3 linked regions of the Caenorhabditis elegans genome follow. The protein of the gene in region 1 interacts with the protein of each later gene in a pairwise test. Each region holds a gene or a part of one and is shown on either strand. Other genes may lie near its edges. The genes, in order: atg-4.1, lgg-1 and lgg-2.

Evidence for each region.
Region 2: the proteins of atg-4.1 (region 1) and lgg-1 interact in binary tests that used the Caenorhabditis elegans proteins (3 or more experiments, as listed by UniProt).
Region 3: the proteins of atg-4.1 (region 1) and lgg-2 interact in binary tests that used the Caenorhabditis elegans proteins (3 or more experiments, as listed by UniProt).

What each region holds. Positions count from the first base shown.
Region 1 is NC_003279.8:13,536,542-13,544,172, forward strand, and holds atg-4.1 (Cysteine protease atg-4.1), read right to left. Parts: upstream 5,855-7,631; coding exon 5,629-5,854; intron 5,578-5,628; coding exon 5,506-5,577; intron 4,904-5,505; coding exon 4,848-4,903; intron 4,796-4,847; coding exon 4,654-4,795; intron 4,232-4,653; exon of another isoform or gene 4,172-4,231; intron 3,992-4,171; coding exon 3,788-3,991; intron 2,056-3,787; coding exon 1,429-2,055; intron 713-1,428; coding exon 594-712; downstream 1-593. Other genes in the region: Y87G2A.2 (Acyl-coenzyme A thioesterase 8), read left to right, coding at 373-433; aex-6 (small monomeric GTPase), read right to left, coding at 6,847-6,911, 7,187-7,311, 7,367-7,479, 7,615-7,631. UniProt on the Caenorhabditis elegans protein: Cysteine protease required for autophagy. Cleaves the C-terminal amino acid of ATG8 family proteins lgg-1, to reveal a C-terminal glycine.
Region 2 is NC_003280.10:6,346,389-6,349,756, forward strand, and holds lgg-1 (Protein lgg-1), read right to left. Parts: upstream 1,332-3,368; 5' UTR 1,299-1,331; coding exon 1,011-1,298; intron 959-1,010; coding exon 875-958; 3' UTR 572-874; downstream 1-571. Other genes in the region: putative RING finger protein C32D5.10, read right to left, coding at 3,182-3,219, 3,267-3,319, 3,368-3,368. UniProt on the Caenorhabditis elegans protein: Ubiquitin-like modifier involved in the formation of autophagosomal vacuoles (autophagosomes). When lipidated mediates tethering between adjacent membranes and stimulates membrane fusion during autophagy. Recruits lipidated-lgg-2 to maturing autophagosomes.
Region 3 is NC_003282.8:10,933,557-10,937,561, reverse strand, and holds lgg-2 (Protein lgg-2), read left to right. Parts: upstream 1-1,658; 5' UTR 1,659-1,700; coding exon 1,701-1,806; intron 1,807-2,424; coding exon 2,425-2,593; intron 2,594-2,644; coding exon 2,645-2,798; 3' UTR 2,799-3,366; downstream 3,367-4,005. Other genes in the region: Protein adenylyltransferase fic-1, read right to left, coding at 12-90; lsm-7 (U6 snRNA-associated Sm-like protein LSm7), read right to left, coding at 3,452-3,557, 3,646-3,754, 3,882-3,975. UniProt on the Caenorhabditis elegans protein: Ubiquitin-like modifier involved in the formation of autophagosomal vacuoles (autophagosomes). When lipidated mediates tethering between adjacent membranes and stimulates membrane fusion. Less effective at promoting membrane fusion than lgg-1.

The sequences.
Region 1 (7,631 bases):
CCATTGACAATCGACCGCCGGACAACGCGTGGGAAAGTTGTGTAGTCCACACGGACAAATGCATTTAGTTTTACAGCTAAAATCGAGCCGCGACGCGACACGCAACGCGCCGTAAATATATCCCAGATATCGCCAAGCCAAAATGGCCTAGTTCGGCCCAAACTCTTCCATTTCAATTTATGAAAGAAGCCAGAAATCCGTGGGTAGAGAAAATTCAAAATTTTATTGCTAAAAAATCGATAAGAAAAGTTAATTTTTCCAAATTTTTCTTCACAAAATCGATAAAAAGCACAATTTATTTCACTTTTTCCACTGAAAAATCGATATAAAATTCAAAAATTATCGAATTTTTCAAAAAAATCCTATTTTCAGATTAATAATGTCTACATCACAAGAGGCATTGATCTACAAAGTGCAGCCGAGTAAAATTTAAATTTTTTATCGAATTTTTTAATATAAAACATTATCTTCACATTCACAATTTTTTAAAAATACATTTGAGAAACCAAAAAAAAACATAATTTTTAATACAATTTTTTACAAAAACCAGCAAAACAAAATCGTCGTGATAAGGTAGGGAAAGTGGGCGGGGCTTAGGCATTTGCCACGTCATCATCATTGTCTTCGTCTGCGTCTTCTTCTTCTGTATGAACATCCAAAACTTCAAAATCATCATCGATTTTCACGTTGGCGGCGCCGATGTCATCGAATTCTGTAAAATAAGTAGATTTTTGGGTGAGGCTCAGAGACTACAAACTACAAAAAATTTGAAAAATTCAAAATTTTCAGAGAAATATTAGGCACAAACATTACGGAAACTACAAACTACAAGAGAAAAAAATTCGAATTTTAGACTAAAAACTACAAAAAAAATTAAATTTAAAAGTTAGGCTACAAACTATAAACTACAATTAAGCTATTTCGCAATTTAAATATCAACTTCCATATCGGGACTTCAAACTACAAACTACAAATCGAGAATTTTTGAAGTCTAGATTTCAAACTAAACTTGACTACAAACTATAAACTACACTTCTCATTATTTATTTAAAATCTAAGGTTGATTATTTATTAACAACAAACTAAAAACTACAAACTACAAACTATAAACTACACAAACCGACATATTCCAAATACTCACACATGCTATATATTTTCGAAATTCAATGCTAATAAATAAATACACTATAGGCTATAAACTACAGACTACAAACTACAAGCTCTAAAATAGAAGCTATAAACTACAAAGACTACAGACTACAAAAACTACAAACTACAAACTATAAACTACACAAGCCGACATTTTCCAAATACTCACATGCTATATATATATATATATATATTTTTGTAATTTAATACTAATAAATAAATACACTACAAGCTTTAAACTAGAAACTACAAAGACTACAAAAACTACAAACTACACACCCTTCATCTCAATCTTCATCGAAACGCCAGTGTATGGTTCGAATTTTGGCAAATACTTGGGCCGCCGCTGCAAAAACTCGAACATGGGCGGTTGGGAGGCAGGCAATGTGGTTTTTTGAAGGGTCTCGCACAGATTTTCAAACTCGTCACGTGTCTCACAAAACATTGCCAACGCGAGTGAAGGATCCACATTCTCATACTCAATCCATAACATCATTTGACAATGATACGTGGAATCATCCATTTTCGTGTAAACGTCTGCGGTTTGAGATGGTAATGGAACAAGTTCTTCCAAATGACTGAAGCCTACGTCATCGGTGGTGGCCGTGGAATCTTTTTCTGCATACATTTTGGCCGTCGATTCAGTTTTTGGCCGGCAATAGTGAGGATCCAGATAGAAAAGTTTCGAACCAGACATTCCAACAAAGTATAGAGCATGATTTGGTCGACCACCGATAATTCCGACGCATTGTGGGATTTTAAAGAATTCTTGAATTGCTGATAAATAGCATGGATTGATCGTGGTGAGACCCAAACGTAGGGGAATCATTAGGAGAAGGGGACGCCATTCGGGGATTATATTGCCTGGGGAGAGGGAGAGACGGTTTTTGTCGACGAGGCCGTTTTCTGAAAAAAAGAGTTAATGGTTAATGGTAAATTCGAAAAAAAAAATTTTTTTGGAAAAAATGGCGAAAAACTAAACAAGAAGTATTTTTGAAAACATTAAAAAAAATTACATCCCCATAAAATTTTTTTGATGATGTTTCGATTTTCCATTTTTTTTTAACAAAAAACCACATGTCTGACGTTTTTTAAAAAAAATCAGACGTTTTTTGAAAAAATCTCATATTTTTCCGATTTTCTGATGAAAAAATCGAAAAAATTAGGATTTTACCGTAAAATATCTGAAACAGATTAAAAAATTTAAAAAATTTAATCTGTTTCAGATATTTTACGGTAAAATCCAAATTTTTTCGATTTTTTCTTCTGAAAATCGGAAAAATATGAGATTTTTCCAAAAAACGTCTGATTTTTTTAAAAAACGTCAGACATGTGGTTTTTTGTTAAAAAAAAATGGAAAATCGAAACATCATCAAAAAAATTTTATGGGGATGTAATTTTTTTTTATGTTTTCAAAAATACTTCTTGTTTAGTTTTTTCAGAAAATTATCCAGAAAACCTCCAAAACATGACGTTTTAGATCTATTTGTTGGATTTTTATTTAATACGAGGCGTGAGAAAAATTTTTTTTTAAAAATAAACCTAGCATTTTCGACTTTCGAGAGTTACTAGGCCCTTTTTTTAATTTTTATTTTTTGGAAAAAATGGCGAATTTTTCAACTGTTTCAGATATTTTGCTGCAAAATCCAATTTGTTTCGATTTTTTCACCTAAAAATTCGAAAAATACAGGCATTTTCAAAAAACGTCTGATTTTTTACCGAAAATCGAAAAATTAAATTTTTTCGAGAAATACAATCATTTTAGTTGGTTTTTTGTGGACGAGGCTATTTTCTGAAAGATTAGGGAAGTTTTGACTGATTTTTCAGCAAAAATTATGCTTTTTAACCATTTTTTAGGGAAAAACTAAAAAATCATCAAAAAATTTTATGGGGATGTAATTTTTTTAGCGTTGTAATAAATACTTCTTGTTTAGTTTTTTCCAGAAAACCTCGAAAATATGATGTTTTAGGTTTATTTTTTGGATTTTCTTCATGACGAGGCGTAAAATTATTATTTTTAAAATAAACGTTACTAAAAATCGAAAAAAAAACTCTGAAAATCATCCAGAAATTGAAAAAAAAAATTTTAATTTTTTCTCTTGTCCCCTAACAATAAATACCAGATTTTGAGAGGAATTTTTAAAAAATTAAAGAAAATTTTTTGGAGACATTTTTTCAGCTTTTTGTTTTTTTTTCAAAAATTATTTTCAGATGAATCTAAAATATTTTCAAAGTATTTTTTGGTTTATTCAAAAATAAACCATTGAAAAAAAGGCCCTTTTCCGATAAAATCTAATTTTTTTAAAGAAATTTTCGATTTTATACGGTTTTTCGGGATTTTTTTTTTAGAGAAATGCGTATATTTTTAGATTTTTCGGTTTTTTAAAAAAGAAAATCGAAAAAGGAAATTTTTTAGCGATATTTGGCATTATTTTAATCCAAAAATTTGAATTTAATTTTTTAAAGAAATTTTTTGGTTTTTTTTCTAAGAAAACAAAACAAAAATGTCAGCTAAAATTTCTGATAATTTTTAGATTTTTTTTTTGCATTAAAATTTATATTTTCCTTGATTTTCCGCACACATTTTCTATAATTTTAAAAAAGTTGTAGCACTTTGTAGTTTGTAGTCCCTTCTTACCCATAATAAGTTTAACAGCATCTTCACTTGGATATGATGTTGCCATTGTAATAGCATCCTCTTTCACAAGAATATTATCAAGTGCCACGTGGACGGCGATATTCGACCAATCATCGAAAATTGTGAGCTTCTTCATTACTTGAGCCGCCGTATTTGGTCCAAACCATTTTGAGACTTCTTTTCCTTCAGTAACACCCATTTGAGCTGGAAATTGTGTAGTTTGTAGTGGAAGAAAATGATAAAATTTATTATTGAAAATTTTTTTACTCCTATAATTGAAAATTTGATCAAAAATTCGCAAAATTTGATGGAAAATTCGTCGAGTGAGGCTAAAAAGTTGTAGTTTGTAGTCTCAGCCTCAACCAATGCAGTAGGTTGAGGCTAAGCTATATATATATATATATATATATATATATATATATATATATATATATATATATATTCGATTTTTTAACTAAAATTTTACTCTAACAATTGAAATGTTGATCAAAAATTTGCAAAATTTAATTAAAAATTCAAAAAATGTGATGAAAAATGCATTGGGTGAGGCTAAAAAGTTGTAGTTTGTAGTCTTAGCCTCAACCGATTCATTTGGTAGAGGCTAAACCAATTTTGTAGTCTGTAGTGGACGAAAATACAAAATTAATGCAGTTTTCAAACATTTTTGCTTTTTTAAATTCAAATTTTACTCTAATAATTGAAATTTAGATCAAAAATTCGCAAAATTTGATGGAAAATTCCTCAGAAATCGCAAATTTTATTTGGGTGAGGCTAAAAAGTTGTAGTTTGTAGCCTGTGGCGCCTCAACCAATTTCGATAGGGTTTTTAACGATTTTCTCCTAATTTTTCAGTAATTTTCCGCATACCAATTTGATGAATCGAGTAAAGCGCGTCTTTTTCGTCGAAAAACATTTGTAAAATCTTTTCATAAATCTCTGAAGTCTTCTCAATATCCCATTCAAAATGGCGTCCAATGTGACGGCGAAGGAGTACTTCTCCGAGAAGCATCTGCAATTTTCGGGCGATTTTTTTCGAAGAAAAATGTAATTTTTAATCCAACCTGTGCGCATCTCAGCATGCAACCCCATCCTTGATCCGTGCTAGGGCCTGTGCCACCTGGAAATTTGAATTTTTCAGTGCAAATATTAATTTTTAGTGTTTTTTCAACCCCAATTTTTCCTTTTCCCACATAAAAATAGACTGAAAACCAAAAAAAACCTAATTTTCGACCGAAAATCCATTAAAATATAGACTTTTGCCCTTGGTTGAGGCTCAGCTCGGTTTGTAGTTTGTAGTCTCTGAGCCTCACCATTTTCCGTGAATTTTATGGCAAAAAATTACTAATTTTTTGATATATTTAAAAGTTACGGGTTTTTTTTTTCAGAAAAAGACACCGAAATATCAGGAAAATTAACACAAAATCAGAAATTTGAGAAAAATTCATTAAAATATGCGTTTTTTGCCACGTGGATTTTTTGGTTGAGGCTCAAACAAGTTTGTAGTTTGTAGTCTCTGAGCCTCACCATTTTCCCTGAATTTTATGACGAGAATGACTAATTTTTTGATATATTTAAAAGTTACGGGTTTTTTTTTCAGAAAAAGACACCGAAATATCAGGAAAATTAACAAAAAATCAGAAATTTGAGAAAAATTCACTAAAATATGCGTTTTTTGCCACGATTTTTGCCAATTTCTTGTTTTTTTATCGATAAACCTACCAATTGGGGAGAAATCTCTGCGATAAGTGAACCAAAATCTCGATGTGACGTACTTTTTCATTGCCTCGATTCCTAAAATTCAATAACTCTAAGAAATTTCAAATTTCCCGCTTAAAAACCAACCATCTTCCTTTGAAATCTCCTTTCCGAGCGCAAAAATCGGGAAATTATCGATAGAAATTCGCTCAAAAGATTCACAAAAAGGCGGCTCAAATGTCAATGAGGTTTCCACAATTCCGACGCCTTGTTTCAGAATTTCTTCGGTCATTTTGTCGACGACGGGAAGCTGCTCGAAATATTGCAAAATTCGGCTGAAATTGCTGTACGCCAACGGTAAAATCGATAACATGTGAGACGAAGAGACGAAGGGGTTGTGTGGCGGATGGAAGAGGTGTTTGCAGACACTGTGAATGGAGGCAGTCAAGATAATATGAAATTATAAGGGGTCAGAGGATTGCTCACGGGAATATCCCCGGTGGGAATGAGCAAGAACAATCAATATTTACTTTTAATCGAATTTTCTCGAAAAATTGTTATTTTTTAACACAAAATTGCGAAATTCTAGTGTAAATTTAGATTTTAAACACAATTTTCGATTAGTTTGGGTAAAAGTAATGTTAAATAGCTTTTTTGTGCAAAATTATCAAAAATGTTTTTAAAAATCAATAAACTGATCCGTGGCAGGACCCGAAATAAATTTCGAGCAATGCGCCTTAAAATGTTACTGTAGCTTTGGTTTTGGTGAATTTTTAATTCTAAACGTTGAAAATTGGCTAAACAATTGATGATAATGAAAATTTTACAAATTTTTCGGTTTAATAATCAGAAAAATCAATTATTTCTTGCTTATCAGTTGACATTTCCACCAGAAAACTGCTGAAATTGCAAAAACCTGCAAGTCGTTCTAAAACCCGCTTACTAATTTTTGCTATGCGCCTTTAAAAGTTACGGTACGTTTTTACGGACATTTTTTATTTAATTTTTTTTTTCAATTTTTGCAATTCATTTTTCAAATAAGTTATTAATTTAAATTATTTATTTTCATTAAAATTTTTTTTACAAAATCGATACAAAGAGATCGGCGATAAGTTTAGGCGGAATTTTTTTAAAGGAAAAACGTCAAATTTATCAATAAAAAGCTTTAGACGATATGAGGACAGGGTGTGTGTTGAGAGAAAAGAAAAATTGGAAAAAATATATAAATAAAGTCTCTGCTTAGAAATTTAATTGGGAAAAAATCACTAAAAATTAAGGAAAAAAAGGAAAAAAAACGAGGGATTATTATGCAAAATCATAAAATTCTATCTATTTCATTTTGTTAGAAGACCTTAAAATCGATAATCAGCAATTTGCACAATAGGAAGAAGCGGCCGATGGGTCTCCGTCCAAGCTGACTCCGCGGCATTCTGAAAAAAAAATTAGTTTTGTAGTGAAAATGTGGTTGAGGCTCACACTACAAACTACAAAACACATTGTAGTTTGTAGTAGAAAATTCGCGTGAAAAAAACAAGAGACTACAAACTACACTTTTCACGTAGCCTCAACCAATCATTTTAACAATTTTTGTAGTTTGGTTGAGGCTTCGCCGAAATTGTAGTTTGTAGTTACTATTATTTTTGGTAATGGCAACGACTATAGAGTACAAATATCTATTGTAGTTTGTAGTTTTTGTAGTCTATACCTGACAACGGAAGAGACGACGTCTCAACAGATTGTTGAATTCTTTGCATAACCAAATCGAGTAGACAATCCACAGATTTCTCCACATTGGTAGATGTGCAGGCGGACGTCTCGAAGTACGGCAGCCTGAAATTACGTGGTGGCCGTGCAGAAAAACAAGAGAAAAAATTCGGCCACGTACCCCAATTGATCAGCCAGCTGCTTTGCACGGGCGGTACTGACTTGACGCCGATTTTCGAGGTCTGCTTTGTTACCGCATATGATAATGTCAGGTTGCTCGCAATAGGCATGTACCTGGAAATTTTAATATTTTTCGGGGTTTTTTGAAAAAAATTGTTTTTTTTTCAGCTTTTTCAGCCAAATTTAAAGTAAAATTTTCAGAAAAATCAATAATTTTTAGATTTTCTGAAAAAAAAATCGCTAATATACCTTCAATTGTGATAGCC
Region 2 (3,368 bases), on another chromosome or scaffold:
TATTTGTTTTTAATTTTTCATGATCTCCTACAATTTTCCAAAAATGTATCGGTTTTTCCTTTAAAAATGTGGAATTTTAAGTGAAACTATTACAACAGATACAGGTGAAAATTGCGAAACACTTTTGGGTGCGGTAGCTGAAAAGTTTCCATCGTGCCGAGACCGGCTACCGTATTTTCGCATTGAAAATCTCAAACTTCTGCAAATGGGTAGTACCAAAATTGTGTCTCGAAAATGATAAAATATGCCAGAATCGAATCAAAAATGATTCCTAAGTCAACGTTTGAGCCCTCTTATGACATTTTCAGACGATGACAACTAGAATAAACTGTCATTTGACAGATGACTAATGGATACAAAGAGCCTTTTTGCCAAAAGTGTGTCACCATTTTCGAAATAAAATTCTCATTTTTCTCTATACTTTGTTCAGAAATCTACAATGATGTTTACGTAATACAAATGTGACGTCAATTCTATACAGATGAAAAAGTGATTTCGCAATGTGTATTGCTAACTGTTGGAGGTATTCCATTCGCTGGCCGAAAATAACGATGAGCATGAACATGAATTTGTTTGTGTCTTCTTCGTTTATTCATGAATCAAAAATTTGAAAGTAATAGCAAAAAAATATCAAAATCCGAGAGAAAACATGATTTTCTGGGAGGGGAGAAGAGCAACTTCGTAGACAATAGTTTGAATAGAAGTCACTACTCGGAACCGTCATACGAGAAAAATGAGAAGAAAATGTGAAGGAAATACAGAATTATTACAGAAAATGAGAAGATTTTTTTAAAGGGGCTTTGGGTTTCCATTAGAAGTATGAAATTTCCATTGTACAAGTATACACATTCGTCGGCGGATAATACATGACACTTTATTCCTTCTTTTCGACCTCTCCTCCATACACACTTTCGTCACTGTAGGCGATGTAAAGGAACAAGTCTTCCTCGTGATGGTCCTGTAATAAAGAAAAGGGTTAATTAAATGAAAATAAACGACTGGTTAGTTACCTGGTAGAGTTGTCCCATTGTGGTCATGGTTTGTGGAATGACATTGTTGACAAAGAAGAACAGAGCATCTTCTGGACGAAGTTGGATGCGTTTTCTGATGAGGAAGTAGAACTGTCCAACAGTAAGATCGGATGGGACCAAGTACTTCTTCTTATCCAAGTCATGGAGCTTTGACTTTGGTGCTTTCTCAACAATCACTGGAATACGGTCTGGGTACTTTCTGCGGATCTTGTCTCCTTCGGCACGACGCTTCTCAAAGTTGTTCTCCTCCTTGTAAGCCCACTTCATTTTGATTCGAAGGTTAGTGTGAAGAGAAGGTTACTGGAATAAAAATACTTTAAATCACAGAAAAATCATAAAAGAACCATGAGAGAAGAAAGGTGTAACAAGTGAGAGTGAATGAAGGTGACATCACATGGGTTTTGAGAGATTGACCGATTCGATAACACATTGCGAAATCTATATAAAATTGACGACGAGTACTAGTAAGGCAAAAAGAGCATGAGCAAGAATGGCCCGTGTGCAAGTGAGAGAGGGAGTGTGCGCGCACATCGGTCATATGAGAGCGCGTAGACGCAGGAGACATCCTATTGATTTTCTATGTTTGTCTGGCCTGGTTTTGTTGAGATGCAGAGAAACAGGACAAGTACAATGCAGCTGTTTAGAGGTTGTCGGGGAAACTGTAATTCTGGGAAGACTGAAAGTCGATCGATATATTAGTAACATTTATCCAATATTCACTAGTATCCATAACCAGTTTCTACGAATATTCTTAGCGCATTGTTCCAAAAAATTGAATTCTGAAAGACTTTAGTAATCAACTATTAACTAGATTAATATGACCGTTCAATAAATAATTTTGGTATGATTTAGCAATATTTTTAGATAGAATTGTTAAACCGTACATTTAATAGTCAAACTTGTGAAACATTTCTTAATTTCAAATTTCAAATCTAAAAAAGATTTTGATTTGAAACCGGTTTTTTAAACAAACCAACTAAAATTACAAACTTTTAAATAAAAAAGTACTGTCGCTACCGACGTCGCCAGAAAGTGAAAGAAATGGCAGAAAGTCGCAAAGAAGAGCGAGAGGCAAGACTGAACACACCAAGACGAATGGCACTAGCTAGAAAGAGAGAGAGATGAGAGAGGGGCGGAGACGACGAGACACCACGACTCAACATCATGTGACTGTGTCATACGGCGGCGAAACGAGACAGCAGGCAGAGGAGAGCAAGAGAGTATAGGGAAACATTGGATGGTTTGAGAGAAGTAGAGCAGCATGGTGTAGAATCATCGGGGTTTCAGGTGCCGATCGACAGATTGTTTGTTCTTAGATTCTTTTGATAGGAAATTTTAAACGTTAGAAATGATCAAAAGTGATAAAAGGTTAGAATAACAACTAGACAACAGTTGGTATTGAGTATGTTTTGCTATTAAAGGAACATAATATGCTAAAACTAAACGAAATAAACGATATATAACTACTATATCCATACAATAATATGTAGGTGGAAAGTGCATTAGCGACATAATTCTAAAATAAAGAGTTGGAGCAATGAGAGCATCATCCACATTCACAGCTGTCACCGTGACGTAGAATGTAATGAACTAGAAGAGGGCATTCAAGACCAGCTGGTAAAACGCTAGAACTGACAATATAAAACAAATCAATTAAAAGATCTTAAAGACATTAGGGTGCACTCCATGTAATCGATCAGAAAGGCAAAAATATAAAAAGGAACAAGATAAAAATTTGCCGGAAGCAAACCGAGAAAAAATATTAAAAAAATAACCAAACAATAAACCAAAGGTTAAAAATTTATAGACAGTCAATAGTGACGAAATGTTTTACACGGACAGAAGTACAATAATCAGAATAAAGCTATAAATATAAATAAATAAAAAATGATAGCTAACATGGAGAAACAATAAAAATATGAAAAACGCTTTTTTCTTTGAACCGTAAACAACGAAAATCTAAAAATTGCCGAATAAGTTCGCTTGTAGCCCAGGATGGAACATTTGGAAACTTGCTACTACGAAACATCGAAATGTCAGAAAAAATAAAAGTAAAAAAGTTGTAAAAAATTATGATATGCCTAGGAAAAAGTTTGAAAACTCGTCGATATCCGCCTTTTTAATTGATTTAACAGAGATCAAATGTCGATTTACTGTCGCCTTGAAAGTGCACCAGTTCGAGAGAGATCTGTAAAAATTAGTTATGAGACTTGATCTGCAATATGACAAACTTACAACTTGCTAGCTGTAACATATCATCAGGTTTGAACTTCGAAATGTCTGGAGCACTGAAATTGGAATATTACATATCCACGATAAAATCTTTTCAAACCCACC
Region 3 (4,005 bases), on another chromosome or scaffold:
CAAAAATGTACCATTTAATTTGGAAGGTCTTCGGGTTTTTTCCAAAAGATAGGAGAAATCATCGGAATGAGTTCGTCTTCGAACTGACATCACATTATTTAAAACTATCTGCAAAAAAACAAATTTTCCAGAACTTATTCATGCATTTGAAGCGAAAACAAGAAAAAAGATCTGCAAATTAATTTTGAGCATGATTCCACCTTTCGCTTCGAGACCAGAGTAAAAAAACGTTAATGCGCCTTTGAGTTACGGTAGTACTGATTAATGGTTTGAACACCAAATGCATTTTTTTTCGATTTTGGCATGTTTTCCTTCTTTTTTTTCAAGTTATATCCGAAAAACCTAATTTAAAAAACTGAATAATCTTTTATCTAAATATTAACCATATAAATATCGACATTCCACTCGATTTCACAAGAAATTTCTTCATCTTTGAAGTTCGTACGCGGAAAATGCTATTAAAGAAAAGAAAATAAACGAGACGCAGACAAATGCACACGGCGTGCGCAGTAACATATCGATTTTGAGACGTAAACATAATTGAGTTCACTAGTCATGAGAGTCTGTTTACTCGTACATCGATTTTTCACTTTTCTTTCTTTCCCCTCATCACTTATTGTTTTGCTCTTTCCATAGTTTCGTCCTCATCTCAAAACTTCTTTCGAAATTATTTAGATACCCGCATTTTCAACAACGGAAAATCTAAGGAAACCCTTAAAATGTCAAAAAAATATCGCAGATTGCCAATTTTTGCTGTGAAATCTTGATCATATTTCATCACTTCTCCCTTTTTCGAAAATCGCGTCAAAGATCTAAAGTTCCGAGAAAAAAGTTTGCAGAAAAAAACGTCAGTTGTTCTGATTGGGAGTAGTAGATTCAGACTGGAAGTTCTAGAGATCATCTGGTTCCCCTGCCCTTTATCTCTCCCTGCCACTATTTTCAAAGTACAAGCACTTTTTTTACGTAGACCGATATAAAAGAGTTGGCTGGTATAGATAAAATCTTTAGTTTTCCGTTAATTTAAACGGCCCATTTTAATATTAGAAATTTTCATTCATAAAACCAAGCATTTTCACACTAGAACATTAGTTGAGAAGTTTTCTAGGAAGTATTCAATTAAAACGTTTTCTCCTATAACTTTCTTAGTGTCGCCAACAAGTCTCGCTGTCATATTTATTTAATTCGTTGCCACTCATCGTTTCAAATTTCGCTATCATTTCATCTGTCTGACACTGCTTCGAACTTCTGTATTAGCTGGGAGAAGGGTCATAATACACACTCTCATCTTCTCTAACTCTATTCTTTCTTTTCCCCATCTATTCCTTCATCACATGATTCTTCTCTTCTCATCGTCTCTCCGTCTCGCGGTCATGTGTCCTCGACGCTCAGTCGATCTTGTGGTGTGAGAAAAGAGAGTAGCATCAATGAAGAGACACAGAGGACAAAGAGACATACAGCAAAAGAGCGTGTGTGCTGCCTACTGCCTCTGTCTCGATTTTTCCCTCTGTCCCATTCCCTTTCACCTGTCTTTTCGCTTCTTGATAAAAAAATTCTCACAAAAACATACAGTGTCCTTTAGCATCTCACACTCTAATTTCTCTTCTAAAATCAGTTTTCTCAACTTTTCAAATACCAGTTACCATTTTTCAAGTTTGCAGATCGAAAATCGGGTCTCAGCACGAAAAAGTGAAGAAGCGTTTATGCTAGCCACGCTTCAAAGTTACACACAAACAGCGATGAGCGGAAATCGGGGAGGATCTTACATTTCCGGAATCGTTCCATCGTTCAAGGAAAGAAGGCCATTCCGTAAGTTTTTTAAAATTCATTTACTAATCAAACAATTGTCATCAAAATAAAAATAGAGCTTCAAGTCTCACTTTAATTTTACTTTAACATCAAACATCTGGTTTTCATCCCAACCAATTCATTCCCAATCATTCCCACTTTTTTTTCCTTCACCCGTCCATTGTAAAAGGTCAGAGACGCAGAGGACAGACACCCCGCGTCATGCGTTTCAGCGAGAGAGCATGAGGAAACAAGAGACAATATGCAAGTGAGACATGTGAAAATCAGCTGATCTTGTGTGAATGAGTGACTATGTCAGTGGAGCAGCACCCATGGAACATTGCGTATTAATTGGGTGCTCTTCGTTGTATGAAAGAAAGAGATAGATGGACCTGAGAAACAAAGATCAATAGGGCAGGTGCAAGGGAAATAGGATTATAGGAAAATTTGGATCAATATTGATATTCTAGAGTTCAAAATATTGCCCACCATTCAAGATAACAACCAAAACTGAACGTACGCCAATCTTTAAATAGAAATATGAATTTTACGAGTGGAAAAGAGAAATCCAGAACTGAGGAACAACTTTTTTATTTTCAAATTTTCGAAAGAAAACCTTTTTAACCTATTCGATTTCAGATGAGCGTCAGAAAGATGTGGAAGAAATCCGCAGCCAACAACCGAACAAGGTTCCGGTAATTATCGAAAGATTTGATGGAGAACGCAGTTTACCACTTATGGATCGCTGCAAATTCCTAGTACCCGAGCATATAACCGTTGCCGAGCTCATGTCAATTGTTAGACGACGGTGAGCTATTCAACTGAGTTGTTTTTTCAAAATCATCCGTTTGCTTTTCAGCCTCCAACTTCATCCACAACAAGCATTCTTCCTGCTCGTCAATGAACGCTCAATGGTGTCAAATTCTATGAGCATGTCCAATTTGTACAGTCAAGAGCGTGATCCAGATGGCTTTGTGTATATGGTTTACACGTCTCAACCAGCATTTGGATAACACATCAAGAGCCGTTTTCCATCACAATTCTAATCAATTTTTAAATTTCCACCAACACCACTGATTGCCCAATGCAATCCTCACTGTAAAATGTTGTATTTTTAAATGTAAATACCTGAAAACCCATCATACTCAGGCGCCAACCATTTTTCTAGTTGCCTTTGCTAATTTCGCCCCTCGCAATTCCCCACCTCAAAACTTCCAGCTGAAATTTGTTTTACAAACGAAAAAAAAGAAACCCAAATTCGCTTACGTTTTCGTGTAGTCTTTATGTGTTCCCTCATAACTCTTTCTCCGCATTTTCCAGCCCGTTTCTTGAATTTCTTCATGTCTTCTTTTCACAACTGATCCTCTTTCAACAAAATTTAAACCGTTTACGATTCTGTGTACTTGGCTAGTCTCTAAAGCCCATAGGGACTATTTTCCTTACTGCCCTGAACATTGAAATTTACCGCTATGGACTTTCTGACTGCCTAGACGGATTCAATTCAAAATTATTACATCTTGTTCCATCGTTACTTTTCCAAATTCAATGTATCAAATGTTTTGTATGTAATAACAACTTTTTCGTCGTTTTTATCTGGAGAATGTTCATTCACAAGGAGATCACATACATATATAATAATAATAAGAGATGATGATGATATCAACGATTATTCTTCTTCCTGGGTTGCGAATGGATTGGCGATTTGCTCGAGTCCATCTGCTGGGCTAACTACTGTAATTGCTGTTCCGCGAGCCACAATAAGACCCAGTTGTCTTAAGATAAAAGATAAGATAAAATCGAAAATCTAGATTTAATTTGAAATCCAAGCTTTAAATCGATTTTTGGAAATCTATCAATTACCTTGTCTCATCACCGACGACCGAAGGATTTTGTGGATCACGGAGATACTCGCGGCAGTCATCAAGAACCATATTGAGCAACTGATCGAATCCTCGAAGCACGCCACTTGCTGAAATTTATACATTTTTATGGAGTGAAGTACAGCTTGTGTATGTTGGACGCTTTCATATTGTTTAAATAGTTTAATGACGGAATCTTATTGCTAGTGCACATCATTGTGCAAAAAAAAAACCAACCTTCACGTCCTCCTTGGAACTTGACGCGAATCTCTTTGTCGAGAAATCTGGTGAGATCAACGACAGACTCCTTCTTTCGTTTTCCTTCGTCTTTCTAAAATAATACAACAATTATAAATAACTT